Linked DNA regions of Coturnix japonica. The protein of the gene in region 1 purifies or fractionates together with the protein of each later gene. This does not show direct contact. Links are inferred from orthologs where the notes say so. Each region holds a gene or a part of one and is shown on either strand. Other genes may lie near its edges. The genes, in order: WDR19 and IFT122.

Region 1 (3,821 bases):
TAGTCAATCATGTGGAGAACGTATGATAACCTTTTCCTTTTAAACTTCATTTGGATAAAAAGATTACTAATGGATGGAAACTGATATTGTTTTTCTTACAGGAACTACCAGTTACTGTCTCTGTTGAAGTAGAGCCCAGTTTCATTGCTGTTGGTGTTTATCATTTGGCTGTAGGAATGAACAATCGAGCTTGGTTTTATTTGCTTGGAGAAAACAGTAAGCATTAATTTCATTCTCTTATTTTAAGCAGCCACCTCATTGCTTGTCTTTTTCAATGAATGTGCCATTATGTTAGCTGTGCTGGCCATTCTGCATTGTACAGTTTAATTGTTTATTTCTTCACTAATACTCTATTTTGTCTTTCATTCATTACTAAAAAGGAAAGGGGAAAAAAAAAAAAAAAAAAAAAAGCCAAATATCCCTATTAGTACAAAATAATGATTTTCCCCATCTGAAGAAGTTATGACAAGACAGTGTAATTAAATGAAATAAAACTTCAAGTTCCAGATGTTGGTAATGAAATGTTGAATGTTTCTTTCTCTCTGTAGATGTGAAAAAGCTTAAAGATGCAGAGTATCTGGGTACAGTAGCAAGCATGCATCTTAATTCTGATTACGCTGCTGCTCTCTTTGAGGGTAAAGTCCAGTTGCATATGGTAAGAGCTCTGTCAGTTTGGATTTCTGAATTAATAGATTTAAGCTGAACAAGTTTAAGAAAATTTTAAAATTATATGAAGTGGAATAATCTTTGGTTGATGGAGATAGAAATAAAGTCCTTTATTTTTTATGCTGGCTAATTAAAATATAAAACTGATTTTCTGGAAACTTTAGAAATAGAAGCTACTGTAGAACAAGTGAGAGAAAGTGTTTTCTTGTGAATTGTGTGACAGGAAAACTCATTTCTGGACAGTTTGATGCAGGCAAAACTTTGATATCAACGGTGTAGTTACAGTGTAGTCTTGAAGGTCATTTTTTTTCTTACGTTTAGATAGAAAGTGAAGGTTTGGATGCTCAGGAAGAAAGAGAAACTCGACTCTTCCCAGCGGATGATGATAAATACCGAATTTTGTGCCATGCTTTGACTGGTGACTTCCTCATATATGGTACAGATGTGAGTATTATCTCTGCTTTTAAGCATCTTTTAAAATTGAAGGTATTTCTGTTCACGTGATTTGAATTATTATCAATTTTTGCAGAAAAAAAAAATCCTTCTGAGAAATTTACTTCAGAATATTTTCTATGCAAAAGCAGTCAAAATTGCATTCAACTTCCCCTAACTGTTGCACTTATATGAGATGTTTTGGCAGGAATATTGTTTTACTAGGGTTTGGTTCAAAAGACTGCTCTTTTTACTAGCAGAATTTAATTCTGCTGTAGTAGTGACATGATTGGCAATCAAAGCATCTTCCAGATATAAGAAAAAAATTTTTGAAAATTTTTGGCTTATTTTGAAAATATATTTATTTAGGTGGTAACATGATAGATGTGGACCCAAAGATAATGAGGTAAGAAAGTATTACGGTGTAAATGTAGGTCTCAGCTTACTACTGAACCATAATGTGAACATGCTTGTGGACTTTTCAGGAGATTTTCCTCTGTATGAGGTTTGTTGTTGTTGTTTTAGTATTTTTTGCCATAGGGAATACAGGGCATGTTTGACATTGTATTGTGCTCTTCACTGGAATGAACTAGTACTGATAAATTTTAAATAGTAAATTCAGAACCAATCCATTGGGTGTGTAGATGTTTTACAATTGACTTCAAAAGCTTGTTTTACTTCTGGTGTTCTTGTTTGTGCAACACTAGTTGAGAAATAGTGTTTATCACCAGTAAGCTTGTTTGCTTTTCCCCCTGTATTAAATAAGCCTGAATTTGTCTTTCTTCTTGGGCGGCACATTATTCAGCATTGATTGAAGGCTACGTTTCTTTCAAGAAAGAAGCAGGCATTTCCCCTCACTTCAGAACTGCACTGTAATGTCTCCATAAAGCAAAGTGAGAACAAGAACACCCATTTTCCTCCCTCTTTCCTAAAACTGTTTCACAGTTATCTTCTGTGTGAGGGCAAGTGAAGTAGAAGGAACCAAAACAGGACTACGTAAATAGCACCACTTAGTTTCCATTCTTTTTCTGTGAATCATTTTCAGTTGATAATTTAGGTCTTAGCTGAAGATTCTACTTCCACAGTGGTTAACCATGCTCTTAAATGAGGACATCCAAAGTTTATTTGAATTAATTTCAATCTCTGTATTCCTAGTTTATTTCTGGGTATTTTTTTATTGTAAATTGTTAATGATACAACCAGTGCTAGTTAGAGAAATAAGAAATAATTAACAGCTGTTCTACATTCTTATTTTTTCACTGGAAAAGGCAGGAGGTGAGGTAGTGAGGTGGGTTTTTTCCTTTCAAATAAAAAAGGTCCTCCTCTTTCTTTTTTATCTCACTCCCACGAAGTTTTCCTATGCTGCCCAATAACATCTCTCAATGAGGAAAAAAGTCAAAAGAAAGCTGGAAATGCTGTTTTTCACGTGTTCTTACTCAGATCTCTAAGATGGGGAAAAAAAAACCAACAACCCACAATCAAATTCATGATCTACTTGCCATTTATTAGTGTCAATATTAGCTTTTTCCATTTTTTTCTTTTCTCATTAGACTGGAGTTATTCATTATTTCTACATCGAAGACTGGCAATATGTGAATGAATATCGTCATCCTGTCAGCGTGAGAAAAATTTTTCCAGATCCTAATGGAACCAGACTGGCTTTCATAGATGAAAAAAGTGATGGCTTTGTCTATTGCCCAGTAAGTTAGTATGGGATACTCATGCCGTTATATTTACAATCTAGGACTCCAACTATCTTGTAAAGCATGTTTTATCAATAGAAGTTTTGTTACTCAACACATGCTAGAAGAAGAAATTGCCAAAAGGGCTTAAATGGTAAAGAATAGTTATGTAAAGAAATGAAATGTGTCATAGTAGATCAGAGTAATTGAATTACATTAAATGCCTTTCAGAAATTAGATATTAGTGTATTCCAATACAATTTTAGCTAATGTTTAAGTGCTAACTTTCAGTTTCAGTACTGCCTGTCCCAATGCTCTTCTTCCAAGGAAAGTAAATATCATGCTTGTGACATGTATTTTCTGTGTTTACTTCCCTTCTGAATTAAACAATTACACTATTCAGAGTCACAGCTCATAAGAAAACTTTTGTAATAAGAATTTTGTATTTCTGCACCACTTCTATTCCTCTATTTTTAATCGTTATCTGAATGAAAATTTAGCTTGTATCATTAGTCTTGCTTCCTTGTAATTTTACTTCTGCATTGTTTCTAGGTGAATGATAGAATATATGAAATTCCAAATTTCTCACCAACCATTAAAGGAATCCTCTGGGAAAACTGGCCAATGGATAAAGGTGTTTTTGTTGCTTATGATGATGACAAAGCATACACTTATGTCTTTCATAAAGACGCCATTCAAGGTACTGTAAATGCTTTGAAAATCTCCACAATTGCTTCAGTTATTAAAGCAAAGCATATTCTGTTTTTAATTTGTATTAAATATTTCCACATCCGTGTATGAAAATGAACAGTACAGAGGTTCTGAAGGTAACTGTCTAATAAAAAAGTAAACGTTGTGTAGGTTTCTCTGCAGACTTCTAGCAAGAGACATTCTGATTTAACCCTTCAATCTTCTTGCTCTTATACTCTTCTGTCTTATAATTACGCATTACGCTTCAATTGTATTTTGAATGTTCAAGAGAAGCTCTTAGGATCAGAGATAAAACTTCTGTTCACTTATAGTATTAATCAGAAGTGTAAC
Region 2 (3,821 bases), on another chromosome or scaffold:
GACTGAAAGCAACTACAGTTATGTGTATTCAAACAGCTGCAAAAGTGCTGTTCAACTTTGCAGTACAAAGTGAGGACTGATGCTATCATAGCTTATACATATGCTGTGTGTTGCTTTGGTTTTGTTTTCTTGTGGTGCTTTCCAGTGTATCCACCTCCCACACACACCCTTCCCCCCCCCCCCTTTTTTTTTTTTTAAATCTGCTCTGCATCTCTTAAATTTGTGTATCAGCACAGAGTGCAGCATTTACAGTAATAAATACCCTGTTGGTATTTCCCACAAAGTATAATGCCAGAAGCTCATACAGAAACAGAACTCAAAACTTTCTTCCTCTCATGGAATTCAGTTTCATCAACCTGGAAGTCATTAGCTGTTCTCTGCTGTGTGCTGTTAGTCTATTTATTTTTATTTTTTTAATAAATAAAATTCTTTTTATACCAAAATGCAGCTAATTCCTCACAACCTGAAAGCAGGCATTACACTCATTTACCAACTTCTTGCAGTCTTAAGTTTTAATTTTAGAGGCAGCTTTAGAGCTCGCTAAACACTGCTTAGGTTCTGCTGTCTCAGTAGGGATATACAGATTAGGCAAATGAGTTTGAAATGTATGGCCTTAGCTTTCATGGCAAACTGTCTGTGAAAGTGCCAGTAAAATGTACCTACTCACCACATAGTTAGAGTCTGGTTTAGCTTTGCAAGTCCACACCCAGCTGCTTTGCTCTCCTATGGTTCCAAGACGGACACCATCCTTTGTGAAGAGAGAAACTTGTTTATCCGAACCTCCCAGTAAAAGGTACTCTCCCTTAGTAAAATAGCTCACACAGCAAGGGTCAAAATTGAGCATTCTGTCCTTCCCAATCTACAAGGGAAAAAATAAATACATCAGCAGAAGGGAAATTTCATACTTTTCTGAGGCCACTAAAACAGATGAAAATAAACACAAGGATCCTCTTGGTGGGACCTGCTCTCACTGAGAACATTCTCAGCTCTCCAGCCACACACAACTTTTTAATACCCTACATCCATCAAGCTTCCAAAAGGCAGCTCTAAATCAATCCCTCCACTTTCAAATCAGCCCACTCAGGGTGTGAGCAATCAAACAACAACCAACTGGCTGAAAGAAATGCAGAGGTCCTCTAGGAATCAGTCAGCTGTAACACAAAAGGGATCAGAGCTACAAGGTCTTTAATACAAGAACTGGAAGACAGCAGCTGAGTTGTTGCAGGGGAAATGAGCCAGAGGAAAACTTGGTTAAAAAATACTGAGTCATAAAAAGCACTGGAAAATAAAAAACATTTAATGTAGCTAGCAAAGCATGACTATAGGAACACTTTGAATACAGGGCACAGAACCAAAGCAGAAATACCCTGCTATTCCCGACTGCACTTCCCAAAAACATACCTGCTTGCCACTGAGCTGATAAAAGGAAAGCCTCTGACCCCAGTCTGCCACAGCTAAAGTATCGTTGCGTTCATCTCTGACAACAAAAAAGGCGCATGGTCACGGCAGTTTATCCATACGTTTCTCAGGGCAGTAGAATCAAACAGTAAGATAGCAGAATATATTTCAAATTCCTCATAAAAACCTCTACAAAGTGGAAGCACAGCAGAGATGCCCTGACATTTCAGCTGAAGAAAACAGCTTGAGGACACAAAATTAAAATCTGTCAACTTTTCAGGAATAACTGCAAAGTTTGACACAGCACTTGATGCTCAGCATGTAAGCAGTGGGTACAGTGAAGCTGCACCTGTACAGCAGGCACAGATCCTGATCTTAGGGATCTACACAGGAGTACAGAGCCACTGAGGCATCAAAGACAACACTGCTAAGCAAGATTGGACTGTGACTATCAGAGCACATGGCAGGAGATGAAATGGCTCCTGCAGGACTGGGGCAAGCTGAGGAAAGGCTTCAAACTGGTTAAGTGCAGTGAACCAGAGAAATTTATTACCTAAGAAATGTCGTCATTAATGCATACTAGTGGAATAAATTAAAACAAAAAAGACACTTAATCCAGAATTTGGTAACTTTTGAGTTTTGCACCATGCATAAATACCTTCTGCTTCTGGTCCTTTTAGCAAATAGCTCTTCTACGTTACGCATGTATATATATGTACATAAATGTATATATGTTATCCATTGTAGTCTCACTCACAAGCTGAAATGCATAGCCTCTTCTTTCTCATTGTCTTCTACCTTTTCCTCATTATCCTGCCCACTGCCAGGCTTGGGTTTCAATTCTGGTATCTCCTCTAACTGGCTGTTATCTGACTTCTCTAAATGGCCGTTATCTGAATCTTCTTCATCTGCTCTACTCCAAAATGTCTCCCATCGACTGCAATAGCAATTGTTTATTTACATATGGCACAGTAAGTGCAAACAGCCCACCCTCCTCTCCCCCCAAAAAAGCTGAAATCCAACAATAAAAAAAATCCAAATCCACGTTTCATGATATCTAGGTGGAATTTGTTCCCATTTTCTTTCATGTAATGAACAGCTGACAAAGCCCCAACATGTAACCTCAACAAAAGGTAACATCCCATCACCTGCTGTGAACCTGCTCCAGCAGGGATGCAAGTCAGGCCTTTCTGCTATCAATAAACCAAGGACTAACCAGTCAGTGTGGAAAAGGCTGGGATGATTATTTACCTGGATGGATTCCAACAGATGGACCATATTGGTGATGAGCCAGCCCCGGTACGCTCTATTTTAACTTTCTCATCACCATTTTTATTCCGTATGCTGATGACTCCGTTGAACATCCCCAAAGCAAGGTACTGGCCATCGTTTGTCCAACTGATAAAACACACACGTACTGAAGAGAAAACTACTAAAACCAAGCATCAGGAAGGCAGAATGGTACAGCATAATCAAATAGGCATGGTATATTGAAATACATTGTTAAAGGGAGTTCTGGAATGGAGCCAGTAATCCTTAGAGTTAGTTTGTTTACCAATCTAAATCTGCATTTATGGCAACAGCATGCAATACAGCAAGAGCTTTTTATTACATACATGGATTAAAAAAAGGTGGAAAAAACAACAAAAAAGTTATCATCTGCTTGTGGTGTTTGTATCATGTACTAATTAATAGATGCATTTTGGGGAATGAGAATGTTGGCAGTAGACCAGGCTTTTCAAAGCCACATCTGGAAGACTGAAACTGCATGTGATGGGGACAGGAGACACCTGCTTTCTCTTCTTGTCTCTACTGCAGTTAGCTGGATGACTCCAACAAACCTTGCTTCAGGTTCTGCAGAGGAGTAATAACACCTTCTGCAAATGCCAACAACATAGAAGATGAACAGCTCTATGAGAAAACTATACTCATCTTTCCTCTAACTTCATTTCATTGCTACTGCACAAGTTGGCTAAACAGATGGATACAGACGTTCAGACACTTGCACAAGACCAGAGCATCTCTCTGATACCTTCCAAGGAGTTACATATATATTGTATATATTGAAGAATTATATATATACTGTTGTAAACAGTACCTAATAGAAACCAAAACCCTCTGCTATCTAAAACAAGGACAAAGAAAGAAAGACAGCTCTCTGAGAAGACAACACAGGAATGAACAAATCATTTTTTATAAATATCTGTCTTATTTCTATCTGAGTATTCTTAATACTACTCTAATATTTTAATTATGAGAATGGCAAAGTTGCATGAAATGTGATGCTTCTGAACAGCAGCTTAGGAGAGCCTCTTTCCTGCTGGTTATTCTGTCTCTAGACTTTAGCTATTTTGCTTGAACTTTTTTTCCATAAGCCTGCATACTATTTTAAACTGCTTGTATTGAAACTAACTTAAAGAACA

What was found.
Region 2: the proteins of WDR19 (region 1) and IFT122 purify together in Homo sapiens (affinity purification with mass spectrometry; 4 studies listed by BioGRID and IntAct, counting the BioPlex papers as one, with this or other methods). This does not show direct contact. The link is inferred for Coturnix japonica from reciprocal best matches to the Homo sapiens genes WDR19 and IFT122.

Annotation. Positions count from the first base shown.
Region 1 is NC_029519.1:62,637,967-62,641,787, reverse strand, and holds part of WDR19 (WD repeat-containing protein 19), read left to right. Parts: coding exon 1-20; intron 21-101; coding exon 102-216; intron 217-548; coding exon 549-655; intron 656-987; coding exon 988-1,110; intron 1,111-2,648; coding exon 2,649-2,798; intron 2,799-3,332; coding exon 3,333-3,480; intron 3,481-3,821. UniProt on the Homo sapiens protein: As component of the IFT complex A (IFT-A), a complex required for retrograde ciliary transport and entry into cilia of G protein-coupled receptors (GPCRs), it is involved in cilia function and/or assembly.
Region 2 is NC_029527.1:16,810,021-16,813,841, reverse strand, and holds part of IFT122 (intraflagellar transport protein 122 homolog), read right to left. Parts: intron 2,797-3,821; 5' UTR 2,763-2,796; coding exon 2,650-2,762; intron 2,336-2,649; coding exon 2,156-2,335; intron 1,478-2,155; coding exon 1,402-1,477; intron 860-1,401; coding exon 668-859; intron 1-667. UniProt on the Homo sapiens protein: As a component of the IFT complex A (IFT-A), a complex required for retrograde ciliary transport and entry into cilia of G protein-coupled receptors (GPCRs), it is required in ciliogenesis and ciliary protein trafficking.